Caenorhabditis elegans: one gene and its partner. The protein of the gene in region 1 purifies or fractionates together with the protein of each later gene. This does not show direct contact. Each region holds a gene or a part of one and is shown on either strand. Other genes may lie near its edges. The genes, in order: F19F10.3 and sams-3.

The links.
Region 2: the proteins of F19F10.3 (region 1) and sams-3 fractionate together in Caenorhabditis elegans (co-fractionation; one large-scale study listed by BioGRID). This does not show direct contact.

Annotation. Positions count from the first base shown.
Region 1 is NC_003283.11:7,546,372-7,555,538, forward strand, and holds F19F10.3 (DUF4440 domain-containing protein), read left to right. Parts: upstream 1-5,749; 5' UTR 5,750-5,783; coding exon 5,784-5,787; intron 5,788-5,885; coding exon 5,886-6,259; 3' UTR 6,260-6,337; downstream 6,338-9,167. Other genes in the region: ftn-1 (Ferritin), read right to left, coding at 174-275, 322-675, 1,136-1,192; ttr-10 (Transthyretin-like family protein), read right to left, coding at 6,524-6,655, 6,701-6,784, 6,831-6,970, 7,017-7,149, 7,280-7,291.
Region 2 is NC_003282.8:5,842,534-5,853,489, forward strand, and holds sams-3 (putative S-adenosylmethionine synthase 3), read left to right. Parts: upstream 1-6,123; 5' UTR 6,124-6,154; coding exon 6,155-6,226; intron 6,227-6,271; exon of another isoform or gene 6,272-6,306; intron 6,307-6,354; coding exon 6,355-6,415; exon of another isoform or gene 6,416-6,784; coding exon 6,785-6,907; exon of another isoform or gene 6,908-7,008; coding exon 7,009-7,391; intron 7,392-7,442; coding exon 7,443-7,852; intron 7,853-7,898; coding exon 7,899-8,064; 3' UTR 8,065-8,310; downstream 8,311-10,956. Other genes in the region: C06E7.2 (uncharacterized protein), read left to right, coding at 846-1,393; sams-4 (putative S-adenosylmethionine synthase 4), read right to left, coding at 1,795-1,960, 2,004-2,413, 2,465-2,847, 2,949-3,071, 3,445-3,505, 3,731-3,802; C06E7.4 (SH2 domain-containing protein), read right to left, coding at 8,396-8,584, 8,945-9,108, 9,161-9,467, 9,527-9,627, 10,000-10,124, 10,554-10,676. UniProt on the Caenorhabditis elegans protein: Catalyzes the formation of S-adenosylmethionine from methionine and ATP. The reaction comprises two steps that are both catalyzed by the same enzyme: formation of S-adenosylmethionine (AdoMet) and triphosphate, and subsequent hydrolysis of the triphosphate.

The DNA of each region.
Region 1 (9,167 bases):
TTTCCAAATAAACATTTAAAAAACACCTTATGTGTCTCAGATTTCCGCCACAAAGGTTGAAAAAAGGTTGAACCTTTTTAGGAACTGCTAATCTCTGAAGTTTTCAATGTGTTTCATTTCAGTAAATATACAATTTCATCCATATGTACAATAAATACATCAAATAAAAATTATTAATCAGAAAATTCCTCTTTGTCGAACAAATATTCTCCGAGTCCTGGGCCGGCTCTCTTGATATTTGCAATGTAGCGAGCAAATTCATTGATCGAATGTACCTTAATAAACGTTATAAAAATAGGAGTTTAAACTGAAAATGCCAACCTGCTCTTCCAAATACTTCTCCTGAATGTAATTTGTCAAGTGCGCGTCATTGCGTTGTTCGGCGATTCCATGAAGCTTCAACAAAGATGCATTATTGGCTCTCTCTAGAGCAAGTGCGGCTTCAAATGCTTCAAGGACAGTTCCCCACTCGTCTTTCTCTGGCTTCTGAATGTTCTGCATGGCAACACGTCCTCCACGGACAGCTTGAATTCTCATGAGCTCTGTGGCATGGCCACGCTCCTCATCCGATTGCTCCTTGAAAAATTTGGCAATGTTCCGAAGTGCGATATCATCACGATCGAAGTGTGCAGACATCGATAGATAGACATAGGAGGCGTAGAGTTCTACGTTAATCTGGAAAGGTAATTTAAGCTTTTAATTGAGTAATACTTCTAATTTTAAAAGCATTTCAGTGTTAATTTCGTCCAGTTCAAAAGCAAGCTCAGATAGGATTTTTATTGTAGACGCTTTCAGTCTCACGTGCTCGTCTATCTACTGCCGCCTATTCTGTATATTTTTTTTGGATGACTGGCATAAGAGCAAAGAAATCATCGACGCTGCCATGATCAAATTGCGCTTCTTCAGGTACTGTCTGCCTGCCCTTGTTCGTTAAAAAAAAACAAAATGTTGCCGGTTGGAAAAATAAGCGTGTGGTGTGTTTCAATGTTTTTATTAATCAGTTAAATTCCTAATTTAAAGTAACCAGACATCAGTGATTAATTTTCTCACGACACATCCTCTCTTTTTCTAAATCTCTTCTCAATTTCCAACCTTCCTAATATATTTTTCCCATTTGTCAAAACAATGATCATACCTGTTTATTGACGGCCGCTTCGACTTCATCGTGATAGTTTTGACGAGCTAGAGACATGACGATTTACTTGGCAGAAAATATAATGACTTGATTACGTGTCCGGGACTGTGGGTGTTTTTAAACTGGACAACTCTGGGGGCGGAGTTTGTGATTGTGATCATTGATAAACTGATTATGATTTTTGCACATTACATATTGGCAACGAAAGGGTTCTTGTTTACAGAAACATGCGTTTCAATGAACTAATATGGAAACCTAAGTGTTGAAGTACATTTTGAGAAGCTTAACCTTCTGTAAGAAAACTACATCCAAGGATCGCCGAATGAAAATAACTTTTTGCAGAAGTGTGATGTCCCTTTTCGCCTGGCTTTCTAGCGTCCACATTCACATTACATTTTGATTTTAATATGATGCTTCGTAAACTCATACTTGTCCTGTACTCAAAATTTTTAAACTTAGATATAGGTTATAAACTTGAAAAGTGTTTTTTGGGAGATAAATTATACCAGTATTGTTAGAACGTTTCCAGTGAACGCCCTAAATTCTGAAATAAAAAGTTCCGGTTTTTCCTGATCCAAACAAAACCCAATTCTCATCAAATGATGATCTACACTTTCTTAACGTTGATGTATGGTTGTCTCGGCATCACATGAGCTGCCCTAAGACATGTTGATTAGCATTTATTTTGGCTACGTGCATCAAAATTTAGTGATAACAAACGGTACGTGCCGCTCTTATCATTGGCTACGTGAGCTGTTGACAGTCAAAAGTTGGATGGAAAAAGTGATATAGTTTAACAAAAAAAATTTAAATATTGCGTCAGAATATTGATACTTTTGAATTAGGATGGTTCAGGTTAAAGCGAAATTCAAAAAAAAAACACTGAAAACTGAGCAGACCATTTAATAACTTGAACAAGTATCAAAAATTACAAAAAAACACTTTTCAGTGGAACTGTTTTTTCACAGGCAAAGCGGAAAGTGCCCAAAACGGTCCGTTCACGGACCGGGAACGGCTCAAATTAAAGAACAGTTCACGGTTCGATTCCCGGTCCGTCAACGGACCGTAATTGAACCGTAAGGAGACTAAAAAATGGGAAAATTTTTTCACCCTCCAGCTGCCCCCTTTTTCTTTCCCAATGCTCCAAGCTCCGGTCTTCCTCCAGACCGTCTTCCGGTGATCCTTCGTTGTAGCAATTCTATCTGCCTCAGCCGGGGTTGAACTTGTCCACTGCCTGTCGATTGATTACTGGCCCATCACCTTTCCGTGTGGCCATTCGCGCACGCGAGGAATATCAAGAGACTTCGCATAAATAGCGATCAGCGCATTTTCTTCTGGTTTTCACGGCTTACACCAACTTTTTCGATTGTATTTTCAGTAGTTTCTGATTCTCCATCTTGCCGTTGGACTTATATGAAAACGAACGATAACAATTGACAGTTTCGTGTAGTCCAGAACTTATTTCGCATATTTCTCAACATCTACCTATTTGTGCTCCATCTACTTGTAATACAGAAATGGTACTTACCATATTTCCTCTATTAGTCTTGCATGCAAGACTAATTTTCGATTGGACCGTAGGGTTGCAAGACTAATAGAGGAAATAAGGTATATGCGTTCTACTTGAATGATACCTTAATTTCTTAAAATACACACGGAACAGAAACGATATCAGGAATGATTCCAGAATGTATTGTTAGTAAAATATTTTATGATATTTCAAAAAATGCTCCTGTTGCTCAGCTGAAGAAGACCAGCAGAGAGAGAGTGAACGTTGCGTATACACAGTATCTACCCAATTGTGGCATTTCATCTTTTTTATTGATATTTTTATATACATTAATATAACCTCTTTTACACACAATGTTCTGCTTAATAGCCTCAGTTAGATCGCATGCGATTACGGGCCGCGTACGGACCAGTCGGACAGATGATAGACAAAATGGTTGCCCAGAGGAATTTTTTTTTCATGAAAATTGAGTTTTTGAAGTACCTACAATGCTATTTGGTTCATTGTAGCCAGTTGGTTAATTTTTTGCCTGATTCAAGGTTTAGTTTTAAAAAGTGCAGTTTTGCCGACCGGGACGGGTAATTTACGGACCATCTACGGACCGGCTACGGCCAAACTACGGATGATCACCAAAACGGAGGATAATACGAAAAAATTTTTCATGAAAATGGAGTTTTTGAAGTGCCGAAGAGAGAAGGAGAGGGTACTCTCCTTTAGCTAATTTCAGCACTTTTTCCGTGCTAGAACCTGAAATTTTCAAAAACAAAAATTTGGTGCCCGGGACGGTTCATTTACGGTCCGTCTACGGGCCGGCGACGGACCTTCTACGGACCGGAAACGGCCCAACTACGGCTCAAGAGCCATCTCGGTCGGTAAATGTGGTGTTTGCTCTAAATAATGCATTTAACGACGTAAAAATGCTTAAATTAGCCAACTGGTATCATAGGTATTAAAAACAATTCGTTTTCTTAAAATCCATTTTTTCCTCTTAATGGCCATTTTTTACATTCCCCGTAGTTTGCCCGTAATTGGTCCGTCCCGCTATTCATATCCGTAGTTCACCCGTTAATGGTCCGATCCCGGTCCAAGATCCGTAAACGGACCGTACCCGCTTTGCCTGTGTTTGAAATCATAGAAAAACCCGCATGATTTGTTCACCTCTGCACAAATCACGACAGATTATTAATTGATTCACAAAATTTCAATGTATCTTTTTGAATTTCCGTATTCTACTTTTTAATCTGTCCAGGGATTTGTCGCCTCGGTAAAAAAGCCCGCCACCATTAAAATCATACCGAATCTACCATGCAGAGGTGTCTTTTTCCCATTGTATTTTGTGCACTGGAACTTTTTTCTATTGTAGGTACTCAGCAGGCATTCGGAGTAAGTTGTGGGTTTTCTGAAAAATATAAATGCTGCTGCCACGTGGCTCTCTTTCATTATAATTTTCGTTCAAAAAATTGACCTGAAAACACCTTCTTAATAATATTTAAACTATTTCTTAGATTTTTTTTTTTTTTTTTTTTTTTTAATTAAAACGTGTCTACCACCCATGAGCACATGATTCAATACGTTATTGTGTAAAATTTCAGTCTGTATCGTAAATTGCCATCCAGAAAATTATTCCCCATGCAACGGATGCAAATGCATTTGCTGTAAGTCTCACTTATAGTTGTTCAATTATGAAAAAACAGTTCAGCTTGCTCAAGGTCTCAACCAAAATATTGGAAATTTTCCAGTCATGCGAAACCTCGTAAATAAGTTTTTCAATCAGAATAAAGCAGGAAAACCAAACCCAAAGACATTGTCGCTTTATGTCAATTCTACGTACAGCAAGCAGAAGCTTATCGCGCTGGTGAATAATGTTGGTTTTGTTCTAAGAAAATTTCAGACGAAAAGATCAAAATTCAGAGACAATCAGTCACTCAATGGTGGACACAGGACTTGATACCAGGCATCACAAAGTTCTTCGATAAGCCTACTGCAATCCTGGTAAAATATAAAACTTTTCAAACAAATTGTATTCTGATTATATAAGTGTCCCTTTACAGTTAGATTTCTTTATTTCTACGTTTAGTTTGATGTTAATGTACCAACGAGGTCATTTTCTAAAACATCCGCTGTAACCCCATGCTGCGGAGTAAAAATAAAAAAGATGTAGAAAAATAGTTGTTTTTGTTAGTTTGTGAGATTAGAAAATTAATTATTTTATTTTAGCACCGAGACCTCTATGCGTACTTTGACAGCCGATATGCTAACGACTTCCTCTATACCCTGACCTACTGGTACTTGACGGTTCTCATGAAGGTCGCCGATCTTCCTGATGATGAATATTATGTTTTTGCGGATATCATCGACAACAGTCTAGATGCACGAATGAATAAATCCGATGCAATTGCTTTTCAGGTTTACACTAGAGCCTTTGAAGCAAACCACAATCAAACCCTACAAAAAGGAAAATGGTGAAAAACATTTGCATTCATTTTTTTCTGAATAAATTTATCTCGGCAGAACCAGTAAGCAGAAAGATTATAATAATACGATTATGAAATGTTTTTGTTTAACATAATGATACAGCACAAAGATTAATTATTACTGAACAAAAAAATGTTCAATTATACAAATCTGCGGAAAATTAGAAAAATAAACCTAAAAATTGTTAAAGAAATGCATTCAAATCTGAAATTACTGGCGTTTCATATTGTCATACACGTTCACAAGCTTTAAATAAACTTGAAAAAAATCTATTTTAATCGTCATTTGTCTCAATTTTATGACAACTTGTACTAAGTTAGGATTTTAACATTTTATGAAATTGTGTCATGTAGTTGGAAAGCCAGCTGCTAGAAATGTTAAAATGCGAGGGTGGGGAAGTTGTTCACTGAAGAGATACAAGATCACACAGCTTCCTGAAATTTTTGATCGGAACTAAACATTCCACAAGATTTCATACTACAACTTGAAGAGCAACAGATGTGCAAGGGTCAGGAGATCACAACACAATTTTGAAAACAACGCAACTAGACTTTCGCAAGTTTTGGGTGGGTACTGGGAGGAGACATGGAACTGGAAGTATAAAAATCAACAGGCAGCGTGAAAACTTCAAAAAGTTGCTATTCGGTCTCTACTGGCATTGTCATGTGTAAGTTATTTTCCAATTTAAACGAAACTATGTGTATTACATACATGTCGACAAAGATAGTCTAGTATTATAATGAATGTTAAAAAATTGTCTTTCAGCTCTTGAAGAATTCAAAAAGCTCAGGAATGAGATAAAAGAGCTTAAAAATGCAGGCAAACACGAAGAGTTTGTCGAAAGATTCGCCGCCAAGGACGCTACCTTCCTCGCACCATTCCACGACCCAGTGACCGCTGCAGATTCAATTAGCTTGGCCAAAAGTGACGATCTTGCACCTCTTGTCAAAGCTGACTTTGAGATGACAACTGACGAGGTCACACAAATTGGAGACGTTGTCATCGAACGGAACACAATTATTGTCAAGCTTCCATCTGGTGACAAAACTGGATGGGCTTTGAGTGTCTGGGTCAAGGAAGATGGAAATTGGAAGATTCGTAATTCGTGTGTCACTTTCAAGGCTCCAGCACCACAATAAACTTTTGCTCATATCGTGAAAAATTTGAAAATAAAATTCAGCTTATATTTTTCCTTAACCAGTAAAAACATTAAAATGAAAGTTGCATTTTCAACAATTTCAATGTCAAAATATTATTTGTGGATGCGGAAAAAACAGTTTTATGAAAAACGAGTTGTTTAATATAATAGTTATAGGTACTACAGTTCATTTTTATTCAAAAAATAATAGTTGTATGTCAAATATCTTGTATTTAAAATTGAATCAAGTCTATTACGATTGTAGTCAGGTACTCGTTGAGTTTCTATACTTGCATCTCTTGTCATTTACAAGAAATCCTCCTCCGACAGATCCCAATCCAACGTTTTCGTATTTGACTTCATCAGCCGACATGTCTATTTCACCAATGTCGAAAATCTAGGAAAATGTCAATTAAGCTTATACCTTTTTCACCACAATTACCTTGGTTGGAGTACGTGTTGGGGAAACAAATTCTGTTGGAATCAAGATTTGCAAAGCCGAGTCTGTGCATTCTCTGTCCGCAAACTAAAAAAAATATTTTCAAATGTGAAGTTATTGTTTGCAAACTCACGACAAAGTTATCAACTGGTTTACAATAATTTGGCGCGTAGAGATAAGGTGTGAAGTGGGGCCAGTCTTTTCCAAAAGTTTTAACAGAGAAGTTTCCATCTTCATCAGTAAAAAGTGATTCCATCAGAATATCGGTTAACACTGAAAATATTCTGTTAACCCTGAATGCACTAAATATGAATATTACTGTAGTTTTTCTCATAGATGGAAACACTTTCATTGGCGTATGGCTTCCCACCGCACATCAAGCGACCGCTGACGTGGAACGATCCTTCGCCAATGGAATTGACAATAGGGAACCCAAGAGAAATGAGCAATATCTGAAAAATTAGGGTATTGATTGAATTGTCATGCAAATTTCGAGTTAATAAAACGAGTCTGCATGATATTTGAGGTTTCCTGTTTTTGTTTAAATTCTATGTGAAACAACTTTGTGCTCACATTACTCACCAGCTTCCACATGTCGCAACGTAATTCCGGCGCCAATTTCGGACGAAGCTCTGTTTAATTTTTGTTGTTGAAATGGAAGGAACCAACTGCAACAAAAAATCTGAAATTTGGCATGTAACATTAAACGATTTAATTTGGAATTTGAATACAATAATGCGTAAAAAAATGGAACAAATAACATACATATTTTAAGACTTGCCAGCGCAAACAACCTATGAAAAATGACAAAAATTCTTGGAAAATACTGGTTCCTTGTTCAGCTTGATCAGGGGCAGCAAAAATTGAAAGGAACACAAACATGATTTAATAAGCTTTAAATTAGGTTTATATTCAATTTTATTTTGAAATCAGATTTTCAGTTGGCGGAACAAACTTGATTTCTAGGAAAAAATATTTCGTTTCTGTTGACAAAGATCAGAAATGTCGGTTTTTGTACAATTTATTCTCGGCACATCTGAAAAACATAAAGCATATGGCCACATAAAATTATTTCCAAGTCCGCCCGACAAACACCTGGTGGCAATTTCGAGCTAACTGAGAAAAGCACATGTTCCGTGATTTTTATGGTTTTTAAAAAACAGGATTTTTTGGGCTCAAAGATTAGTGAAGCCTCACTTTCAGATTTGAATGGAAAAACCATAAATGTACTTTTCAGACGAAAAATATCTTCTAGAACTATTATAATTTCGATATATATATTTTTTATAATTTGACTGGAATAAAATGGAACTGAAAATAATAATAATAATAATATATTTCTGGACAAATAATAATTATAGGGATGAGAACTAGGTTTAATTGCTCTACAGCAGATTACGTATCCGAGATTTTATATTGTGATTTTTTTAACATTGAAATTTAGAATGGATCCTGGAAAAGACTCCAAGAAAAAATCTGAAAAGGCTTGTAGTTTCATTGAATTATTTGAAGTTTAAAAATTTATGAATTTGTATCACTCTGCGAAAATCGGAACGCCAGAGGGCATGTAGGCAGACAGGCATGATCTCTCAAATAAGCCTATAAATGACCTCCTTTAAGGTCACTACAATTGTGGCATTTTCAGTAACCCGACAGCTTTATAAATACCTGAAAATGTTCTAGTTTTGAACTTCAATCATATGTTCTGTAACCAATTTTTCAATCAAAGTTAAAGGTCTGCTGGATAGGTAATGTAGACTCCGTGACTAACTCCCACACTCTTTTGGAGGAAAAGTATCAAGAATCAAGTCAAAACGGACTAATCACATCTACGAGACAATGAAATTATGAATAACTTGTGAGGAAACCACCTCCAGAAAAAAACTCCAAAGAGTACATATAACTGCTGAAAAAATATTTCTTGTTTTTGTTTTTAATTTTCTTTCAGAAAAAAATACAACCTTGCTCTGAAAAAGTTAGATTAAAAATTGGAAATCAGACACTATTATTCGAGAGAAAAGTTCAAATTGGATTTGATTCTTGGAATAACTAATTAGAATATGACATATGTCAAAAACAAATCATAAGCAGGAAATGAATTATATATTCAAAAACTTACAATTAGTGCATAAATTAAGGGTTTGTCCCGTACTTGATACGCAAAACGCTTTAAAAAACTAACACTTCGACAGTGTAAAATATAGTTTTCGATTTTTTTAAAACTCAAATTTCAATATTCAGTTCTTCAAAAACTAACTAAATTAGAACATCCGATTTGAAAAAGTTAACGATCCAAAAATGTAGCATGAAAGCTTGGCGACTCTTTTGGCAAGTTTTCAGCTTCTCTTTCAACATATTCTATTTGCAGCATAAATAGTGATTCCTTATTAAATATTATGCTACTGAAGGACTTCCAATGACGTTTGATTTTTGCAATAAAATAAGGTTTTTTAAAACTTAATTCTCTTTT
Region 2 (10,956 bases), on another chromosome or scaffold:
TCGAAGAAGAAGAAGGATATGAGACCAGTAGTGAAAAATAAGAATGACTAGAAATAAAACTACTGAAACTGTAAAAAAAATCTGAAGAGGACAAAATTTCAATTCAATGCAAATGAACCAATAAAACCGATTCATTGTTATGTTTAATATTTTGAAACTGAATGCAAATTTTTTTTCACTCTTAGACGTTAATTAACGATACATGCCTGCCTTTAAAGCGACCTACGCCTATTTACTGCCTAAAAATTTTGTATTTATTTTACTTGTTATTACTTGAATTTCCAAAAAAAAAACTCAAGTTCTGGAAATACCAAACACATCACAAAGTATAAGAAACACGCGGTAGGCAGGCACGTAGGCAGGCATGTGTAGGCATGTGACCACCTACCATGGAAGCTCTCAATCTGAACTCATAAAAATCATTGAATGCGGATTCACGAAAAGCCAGAAAAATAGGAAAATAATAATTTATTCATTCTCGCTAGGCTCCTTGTTTGAGTTTCCTCTAAACTGAGAACTCACGCCCACTTTGACAACCAATCAGCGTCTTCGGACTCCTCACACTCCGTCTGATTGGTTGGAAAATGGGTGGAGCAATTCGCTTTGGAGGAACTTCAAATGTTTCGGATTTCATACGTTTTTCGTGATTTTTAAATGAAATGTTCTCATTAAACACTATTTTGGGAGGTTTAGAGAAAAAATCCCATAGACGCAACTCCACTATCAAATACTGTTTCAAAGTTTTGGTAAAGGTGCCTCATAACATGTCAGAGTATTATCAGGCTATACCTTAACAAAATCCCAGTTCAGTTTGCCCTATTTCACCTTTAATAAACAATTTTCAGGCACCAAAGTGTCCTCTCGTCCCAGCTCAAAAGCTTCAAAACTCAATGAGCAATTCAATCAGAAGCACAAAGCGTCTACACCATCTCCAACTAAAAAACCATCCGAATCTTCCGTAACTCCATCTTCTGCAACATCATTCAAACCAAAAGAAGCATATTCTCCATCGAAATCCTTTTTCAGTTATGAAATGGGCGGAGTCGGAACAACATCAGCTTCAGAAATAAATGAAAAAATATTAATTTCAAATGAAATTCCAGTTGATGAAATATCAAAAGAAGAAGAAGAAAAAGCAGAAAAAGAATTAAATGAAATAATAAAAGAATTAAAATCAGATGAAGAAGCTGTCGATGGAGAGAAAGATGTTGGAGAATTAAAAACACGAGAAGTCAATATGACATCTGAAAATGGAGAAGAGAATTCTGAAAATTCACATTCAAATGATACATCAACAGATGCAAAAGCGGTCAAATCTAGTAAAACAACGATGAATTCAAACTTTATTTTAATTTCTATATCTTCCATTTTATTTTGCAAATATTTCACTTAAATTGTAGACTCTTTTAATAAACCTGGTGCTTTCTGTCGATATATTGAGCAAAAAATTTAATAAAGGAAATGATTTTTTTTTTGAGTTTTCAGATTTCTTGAGGTTTCTGCAGACTGACAAATGAACAAATAGGATAATTATCAAGCAAATTTATTGATTACGAAAAATCGTGATCAACTTGTAGTAATAAATACGTGAAATGGAATAATAATTATGGAATAAAGCGATCATGTGTGCGGGATGGTGGGGGCTACTGATTTTGAATCTAAATGAGGCTCAGGGGAATAGAATTAATGGAATTTAGGGGAACAAGTGAAAATGAAACCAAAATAAATGTATGTGATTACTAGAAGGCTTACAAGCACTTTTATCAAGTTGATTATTACAATAATCTCAGAATTTTAATGGGCAATTCCAATTACGTCAGGTTGAGCTGGTCCTTGTGATTTGGCGAGCATATCTGCACTGATTTTGAGGTTTCGAGGCTGCTCCCATGGGAAATTATTGTGTCCAAAGTGTCCGTTTTCAGCAGTTGGCTCGTAAATTGGTCTCTTCAAGTCAAGATTCCTGAAAACAGTAAAAATAGTGAAACATAAAAAAAAACGCTTACTTGATAATCTTTCCCGGTCTCAGATCGAAGTTATCATTCACAATGGTCAATAAATCCTCCTCGCTGAGAGCAGAAGTTCCAAATGAAAAGACCATCACAGAAAGAGGCTTAGCAACTCCGATGGCGTATGAAACTTGAACAAGGCAACGACGGCAAAGTCCAGCTTTGACAAGTGACTTGGCAACCCAACGAGCAGCATATGCGGCAGAACGATCGACTTTGGTTGGGTCCTTTCCAGAGAAAGCACCTCCTCCGTGAGCTCCCCATCCTCCGTAGGTATCAACGATGATCTTACGTCCAGTAAGTCCAGCATCTCCCATTGGTCCTCCAATAATGAATGATCCACATGGATTGAGATGATAGATGGTCTTGTCGTCGATGAGATTGGCAGGAATTACAGCTTTGATAACCTAAAACCGAACAATAAATATAGCTGTATTTTTATTAATATTTTTAATTACCTTTTCGATGAGTTCCTTTCTCAAATCATCGAGACTGATATCTGGAGAATGTTGGGTGGAGATAACAACAGTGTGGACGCGTAGTGGGACACATGCTCCTCCTTCCGAAGCATATTCGATTGTGACTTGGGTCTTCGAGTCCGGACGAACCCATTCGAGCTCTCCAGATCTACGGAGCTCGTGAAGCTTCCGGTTCAGCTTGTGAGACAAGAGAAGAGTCAATGGCATCGCTTCTTCGGTTTCATCAGTAGCATATCCAAACATAATTCCTTGATCTCCGGCTCCGACATCGTCACTATCCTTGTCCACGTGGACTCCAGCAGCGATTTCAGGTGATTGTTGTTCGAGTGCAACAAGAACATTGCATGTCTTGTAATCGAATCCTGAAAATGAATACTGTATTTAATCAATAAACCAAGAAAATGAGATTCCTGACACAATGTGATGAGCCAATAGTGTAGAAACGAAATTATATTCTTCATACCTTTCGAGGAATCATCGTATCCAATTTTCTTAATGACGTTTCGGACGAGAACCTGGTAGTCGACGACAGCTTTCGAGGTGATCTCACCGCACAACATGATCATACCCGTTTTAGTCACCGTTTCTGTAATCAAAGTAACCGTTGTAACAGGTAAAGAAACATATTGTTGCGATAAGCTTCAGCCCCGTTTCCCGCATCATCCAACACCCGTAGAGCCTGAAATCAGAGACATGAATAGGCGAAATGCAAAAGAACCACAGTGATAGGTACGAGTTCACTGTTGATCCTTCTGCAAATCAAATTCACAACACAAATATCAATATCATGTTAATTCTGAGGTTAACACGACGCGAGTGTATTGAATCTGACCGCCTGTCTTCCATATCGCCGAATCTCTGAATGTTGTACGGATAATAATTGGGACTTTTGCTCATCGCAGCTCCATGTTGTTGTTGACATTTCGTTGGAGGATATCCAAAAGTCCTGAATCACTCACCACAAGCAACCTTAGCGTGAGGGTCTTGAGCCAGATGAGCGTCAAGAACAGCGTCCGAGATCTGAAAAACAAACATGAGAATGATAGACAGCTGCTTTCGAGCACGTGGGCCAATTTTCTACGCTTCGGAGATAACGTTTTGTTTGAAACTATACACATTTTGTCCCATAACTAACTTTTTACGAACTTGACAGATTTTTTTTTTCAACAGTAGCGTATTTCCAATCAAAAAATTTGATGGATTTGTTTATCTGGAAAAGACGATTTCTTATCAAATATAACTTACTTGGTCACACATCTTGTCGGGATGCCCCTCGGAGACAGATTCGGAGGTGAAAAGGAACTTGTGTTGCGGCATTTTATTTCGTTGATGGATGTTTGAAAGCGTCCGTCTGAAAGAGCGATGATATTTAGCTCAAATAAATAAAGGAAAGCGAGGAAGCGGAGGTGGGTTGAATAGAGGGCGGAGCGCCACGCAACAAAGAGAGACACAATACTCTGCGTCTTGTTGGAAACACGTTGCTCTAAAGTATAGTTTTGAGGGCGTTTTTTAGATTGCAATAAAACACAATTTTTTTGCGAGACAAGTGTGAATATTAGCCCGGAAAGCTCTACTTTTATACCATGAAGGTTGAACCTAGATCATCAGAAAACTACAGAGATTTAGAGAAAAAGGGAGCGAGAATTTTCGAAAAAAGAAGGATCAAAACAATTCTAAGGGCAAACCGTTATCTAAGGATGAGGAATTATGAAACACGTGTTATTTGAAACACCACAATAATATTTATATAAATATACGATGTTTAGAAATAAGAACACTGAGGAAGTTTTACTGTCATATTTTTGAAGAACATAAATCGAGATAAGGAAAAATATATAAAAGTCTTAGAGAACAAGACAGGCGACGTTTACAATCTAGAAAAATAAATGTCTAAAACTTTCGAAATATGCGTTCGAAGATTGTACAGATGAACCGGGAACACGGACAAAAAATCTTCGGAATTGAAGTCTCGCTGAACCTTATTGAAAGCTTCAGCAGATAAAGACAACTCACTTACACTCTTCGACGATGAAACGGTCAATGTTTTTTTTAATGTTATGCACTCCGAGAAATTTTGATAAAATTTCACGTTTTCACGTGTGGATATAGCCGAGTTCACTATGTTATCACGTTTTTACTCAATTCTTTTTAAAAGTATTATTATTGCAACAAGATCATTCCCAGCCTATACTATTGTGCAGAACATCGTTTGCAAGAAAAAAAGCTGTCGAGAGGGCAAAATCGGCCTGAACAAAGTTATTGCAAAACTTTGACATACTTTTTTATGTTTGATCATACGATTTTCATCGCTCTCCTCAAATTCATATTTGTTTTTATTTCCTCTAACAGTGTAATTGTGCTAATGGATATATGATCATGAAACTATTCAATTTGCAGAAAATCAATAGACTTTGCCCTTTTGTAAAAGCGCAGAAGCTCAGTTTCCACAACATGAAAAAAGCAAATACTCTAGACTTTAGGAACGGATTATAGTAGCCATTATCAGTAATGTAAACTTTAAAAAGCAAAGGAATCAAGAAAACAGGTTCTAATTTAGAACAAATAGCAACTTGGTAAATAAGAATTGGCCTTGTACTTTTAAGTTTGTAGTCTCACTTGCTTTTTGTCATGGTGTTTTGCTCAATTATCGAGAAACTGTAAGAATGATGAAACTACTTCCAAAATGTTTAATCGTATTTAACAAACACGTGGGTTAAATAGAAAAATAAATTATATCTCAAATAGAACAGTGATTTTTCACTGAAAAAAACGGATTTTAAAGCCTTTTTAAACCTAATCAAGCAGAAAAAACAATTAATACGATATTCGATATTTTTCCGTAACTTTTCTTGTTAATTCCGATATCTAGGAATCTCATATCTCGATTATTTCGATCTATTCATGATAGGGGAAAGCTTTCAGATATTTCCAGTTTCTAATTAGCGAAACAGATCTAATCTAGAACATTTATCGCCATCCGTGAGACAGCTGTTAAATTCTAGTTTAAGGATCGGCTAAAATTCGAATAAAATGCGACGAAAATTCAAAAAAGCCAGCAGATTTATAGAAATTTGCATAGAAAATGAAGAAAATGGAAAAAAGTGTTTTTACAAGTGTCGTAATGTGTTGGGCATTGTACGTGACAGTTGCTCACGGTGTTTGCGGACTTTGACAATTTCTGGATTTTTTGGGCCTTTTTTTTGTGCATTTTTCGCATATTTGTTTCTAATTTTCACAAGAATTTTAATTAAATTTACACGAATATTTTAATTTTTCGCTAAAATAACTGCTCAACAAAGTTCCGAGCCATATATAATCTTTCTCCAGATATTTCTGTAAATGTTCATGTGTTATCCGGATTCTTTGTATTACCAGAAATTTTATTTTATTCGAAACAATTATTTACAAAAGCTATTTGAGTTTGGGAGTATGTGGCTAGTTATCGATTTTCTAATTTTCAGTTTTGGGCTCTATTATGGCTTCAAATGTTTCATTTCAAACATTTCACAGTAGTTTTATTTGCAAAAAATAATGTTTATTCAACTTGATCGTTTTGCTACGAGGTGCTCCGCCTCTTATTCGTTCCTTCTTCCCTTTCCGTTTCTATTTATTAATCCAAACCGAACCACTATTTTCAGACGAAGTGTTTCAACCTTACAACCAAACAAAATGTCGCAACACAAGTTCCTTTTCACCTCCGAATCTGTCTCTGAAGGGCATCCTGACAAGATGTGTGACCAGGTAAGTAACCAACGAAACATTAATAAGGTGCCAGGTTTTTTTTAGTTTCATGGTTTCGAAAATGCGTATATATTTTTGATGTCAGCCATTCTTCGCGTCATTTCTCAAACGAAGATTTCTATTTTCAGATCTCGGACGCTGTTCTTGATGCTCATTTGGCTCAAGATCCTCACGCAAAGGTTGCATGTGGTAAGTGGTTCAGGACTTCTTGATATCCTTCAGCGAAAGTTCAACAACAATATGGAACTGCGATGAGCAAAAGTCCTAATTATTATCCCCTAACAACGTTCAGAGATTCGGCGGAAGACATGGAAGTCAGGCGGTCACATTCAGTACACACACATCGTGTTAACATGATATTGATATTTGTGTTGTGAATTTGATTTGCAGAAGGATCAACAGTGAACTCGTACCGTTCACTGTAGTTCTTTTGCATTTATCGCCTATTCATGTCTCTGATTTCAGGCTCTACGGGTGTTGGATGATGCGGGAAACGGGGCTGAAGCTTATCGCAACAATATGTTTCTTTACCTGTTACAACGGTTACTTTGATTACAGAAACGGTGACTAAAACGGGTATGATCATGTTGTGCGGTGAGATCACCTCGAAAGCTGTCGTCGACTACCAGGTTCTCGTCCGAAACGTCATTAAGAAAATTGGATACGATGATTCCTCGAAAGGTATGAAGAATATAATTTCGTTTCTACACTATTGGCTCATCACATTGTGTCAGGAATCTCATTTTCTTGGTTTATTGATTAAATACAGTATTCAATTTCAGGATTCGATTACAAGACATGCAATGTTCTTGTTGCACTCGAACAACAATCACCTGAAATCGCTGCTGGAGTCCACGTGGACAAGGATAGTGACGATGTCGGAGCCGGAGATCAAGGAATTATGTTTGGATATGCTACTGATGAAACCGAAGAAGCGATGCCATTGACTCTTCTCTTGTCTCACAAGCTGAACCGGAAGCTTCACGAGCTCCGTAGATCTGGAGAGCTCGAATGGGTTCGTCCGGACTCGAAGACCCAAGTCACAATCGAATATGCTTCGGAAGGAGGAGCATGTGTCCCACTACGCGTCCACACTGTTGTTATCTCCACCCAACATTCTCCAGATATCAGTCTCGATGATTTGAGAAAGGAACTCATCGAAAAGGTAATTAAAAATATTAATAAAAATACAGCTATATTTATTGTTCGGTTTTAGGTTATCAAAGCTGTAATTCCTGCCAATCTCATCGACGACAAGACCATCTATCATCTCAATCCATGTGGATCATTCATTATTGGAGGACCAATGGGAGATGCTGGACTTACTGGACGTAAGATCATCGTTGATACCTACGGAGGATGGGGAGCTCACGGAGGAGGTGCTTTCTCTGGAAAAGACCCAACCAAAGTCGATCGTTCTGCCGCATATGCTGCTCGTTGGGTTGCCAAGTCACTTGTCAAATCAGGACTCTGTCGCCGTTGTCTTGTTCAAGTATCTTATGCAATCGGAGTAGCCAAACCACTTTCAGTGATGGTGTTCTCTTTCGGGACATCTGCGTTGAACGAAGGAGAACTATTGAAAATTGTCAATGACAACTTTGATTTGCGACCTGGAATGATTATTAAGTATGTCAGCCACAAACTAATATTTTTGTTAATTGTAAAGTTTCAGGGATCTCGATTTGAAGAAACCAATTTATGAACCAACCGCTGAGAACGGACACTTTGGACACAATGAATTCCCATGGGAGCAGCCACGTCATCTTCAGATTGATGTTGAACTTCTTAAAAAGATTGGAGGAAAAACGATCTCAAACGGAAATGGAATTGCCCATTGATTGTACAATGTCTGATTCATTTGTTGTTTTGATTGTTTCTTGTTTTCTCTAATAACCATTGTTTTATTCAGTTCTAATTGCATTTTTCTCTTATCCCATCCTCACTTGTTTACCTGTATTTCCGCAATATCCTCGATATCCACATACTTCAGATTTCAAATCCCAAATTCCTCCCCAATTTCTTCAAATAATCTATCTATCCCCTTTCCTTTTTCAATATAAGACCTTATAAAAAATCATTTATTGAGAATAATTTTTGTGAAAGAAAATTGAGCGAAGACGAATCGAAATGAGGCACGAGTAGATGGAGTTTGGGAATGACGGATAATATTCAAAACGCAATACTGCTTCGGTAACGACGATCTTCAGATGAATGCTGCTGCTGTTGCTTCTGAATTCGATAAATTCGACGTTCAGCAGGACCGCCAATCTCTTTCGTGTGGATTGAGAGTGGGGAATAATCAGCCGGTGGGATTTCAGACGTCGTCAGTAATTGATGACTGGATCGTGACAGGAATGACTGGAAAATATCTAATTATTAGGAGTTCAAATTACAACTATTACAGAAACACCACAAAATTCTACGCGCAAGATATCTCGTAGCGAAAGCTACAGTAAAAAATCCTAAAATTACTAATACTATAGCGCTTGTGTCGATTTACGGGCTCTTTTTGGCATCTTTGATTTATTTATCGGTAGAATGTTAAACAAAGAATGAAATTAATACGAAGAAACGAAGGAAATCAGGTCAGTAAATCGACACAAGAGCTACCGTAGTCATTTAACGAATTACTGTAGTTTTCGTTACGAGATATTTTGCATGGTCAAATATGTGGTGCAATACGCATTCTAAGAATTTTGTGCTTCCGTAATAACTAACCGGCTCCTTCCGATCATTTCTTCTTGCTTCAATCTCGAAAGCCGCAGTCTTTTCCAGCACACTACTCTTCCGTCTGTTTCTCTTCTCATCGTTCTCCTTCTCATTATCACTTGGAACTGGTGGAGGATCCATTCCGAAGTAGAATTCAGGAAGACTATCGATTCCTGGAATATTATTATTTAGTCAAAAATCATCGAAAACTAAAAAAAAACCAACGTTTTGATTCTCTCTTCAGTTTGTCCTCTTCCTCATTAACCCATGAAAAATCAATTTCCGATTGATCACATCTCATTTGTGACGTGGCAATTGACGAAGATCTCGAGCCATATGATGGTTGACGACGGATTATTGGTTGAGCATATGTTGCATTTGAATTATTCAATGTTTGATTATGTTGAATCCGTGATGACGTTGAAGAGGCTGTCTGGGCTGCAGTTGGTGGTGCTCTTTTTGTGGGCTCCGACACCTGTTGCTCCACTTTTTCACTTCGCTCAACTTTTACTTCTATCGTTTTTGTGATTGGCTGGAAAAGTAAAAACATAGGATTCAATAAATAGTATTGGGGAAATTTTTAAATCTTACAGGTTGTGGAGACTTGATGACCTGATGATGCTGAAGTTGCTGGTGATTGTGGTGATTGTGGTGATGTGGTGTGCTACTGTACATTGGTGGCGAGATAATGTCTGAAGTTAAAGATGTGTTCCAAAAAAAATCTTTTTTGTTCAGAATCTGTAATTTTTCTGGTTTTTAAAAAAGTTTCAGATATCATATTTTTCCTATTGGAGCTTGCACTGCTTCACTTTAGCGGCTCATATACGGTCATTTTTAGTTTTATGAAAACAAATTAAAATATAGAAGAATATTTTTCACGTGCTTCGTCCGTAAAAAATTCTGGTAAAATCAAAAAGAACCGAGCTATAAAGCGTCAAAGTGGAACAAGACCAATAAGATTTCTCATTTTTCTATTAAAAAATAATTTCGGTTTCACAATTGTTATAAAATTTCCAGTGAATTCACGTTTTATTCACCTTCTTTTTAATTTCTCAAATCTATACCTCGTTTTCCTGAAGAAATGCTAGATGTGTTCCATGGATCTGAAGAATGTCCACCTTCTTCTGATGATGTCATTGGGGACGATGAAGCCAGCGAGCCGTTAAGTTCGGCTCGGCGGTTGGTGCTTCTGAAAATTGAACATATATTTTATAGCACTCAAATTGGTAAATGTTTTGCTGTATTGAATTCAAGAGACTGAAATTTTTTAGTTTACAGAGTATTTCTACAAATCTATATTACCTTTAAAAAATTAGAAAAGAAAAAAAGACCTCAAATTATTTCCACAAAATTTGAGAACTGACAGTTTTTTGATAACTATTTTTGGTGGAATTAGAGCTGTTGGAAATTAAAAAATTTGAGGAATTTTTTTGCAAAATAGTTGATAAGATTCTATGAAATATTTGTTGATTATCACTATTTGGAATTCATGAAAAAAAGTTTTGGAATATAATTTCAAAAAATTATTATTGCACCAAAAACGATCGCACCACAATCTTGTGCAAAACTAAAACAAGTTGTTTCAATGAAATTCCCAAACTTGAATAAAGTAACTCACGAGTAATTATGCTTCACATATTGGCTCTGTGTTTCTCGTCTTGTTGGTAATCCTCGTCGCTCATCAGAAGTTCTCCAGTCACGTTGACGCATTCGAACGTCGATTTCAGGTGCTTCGTGCATTCTGGAAATTAATCGATTAATCGATATATGTATACATCTTGTGCATCCTAATATTAAACTAAAAGGCATACAATGAGTAGGTAATTTGTTTAAAACCGTAGCTATAGTTTTATAAAGTCCAAATATCATAATGAAACATTTCAAAATAATTTCAAGCTGTTTTAATTTGAAGTTTTAAAAAAGTGGAAACAATTTAGTTTTCACCTGTAGTTATTTCGAAAAGTCGTTCAAAAATAAGTGGTTCCAAACGAAATTTATACATTTTTTGAAGCTTTGGCATT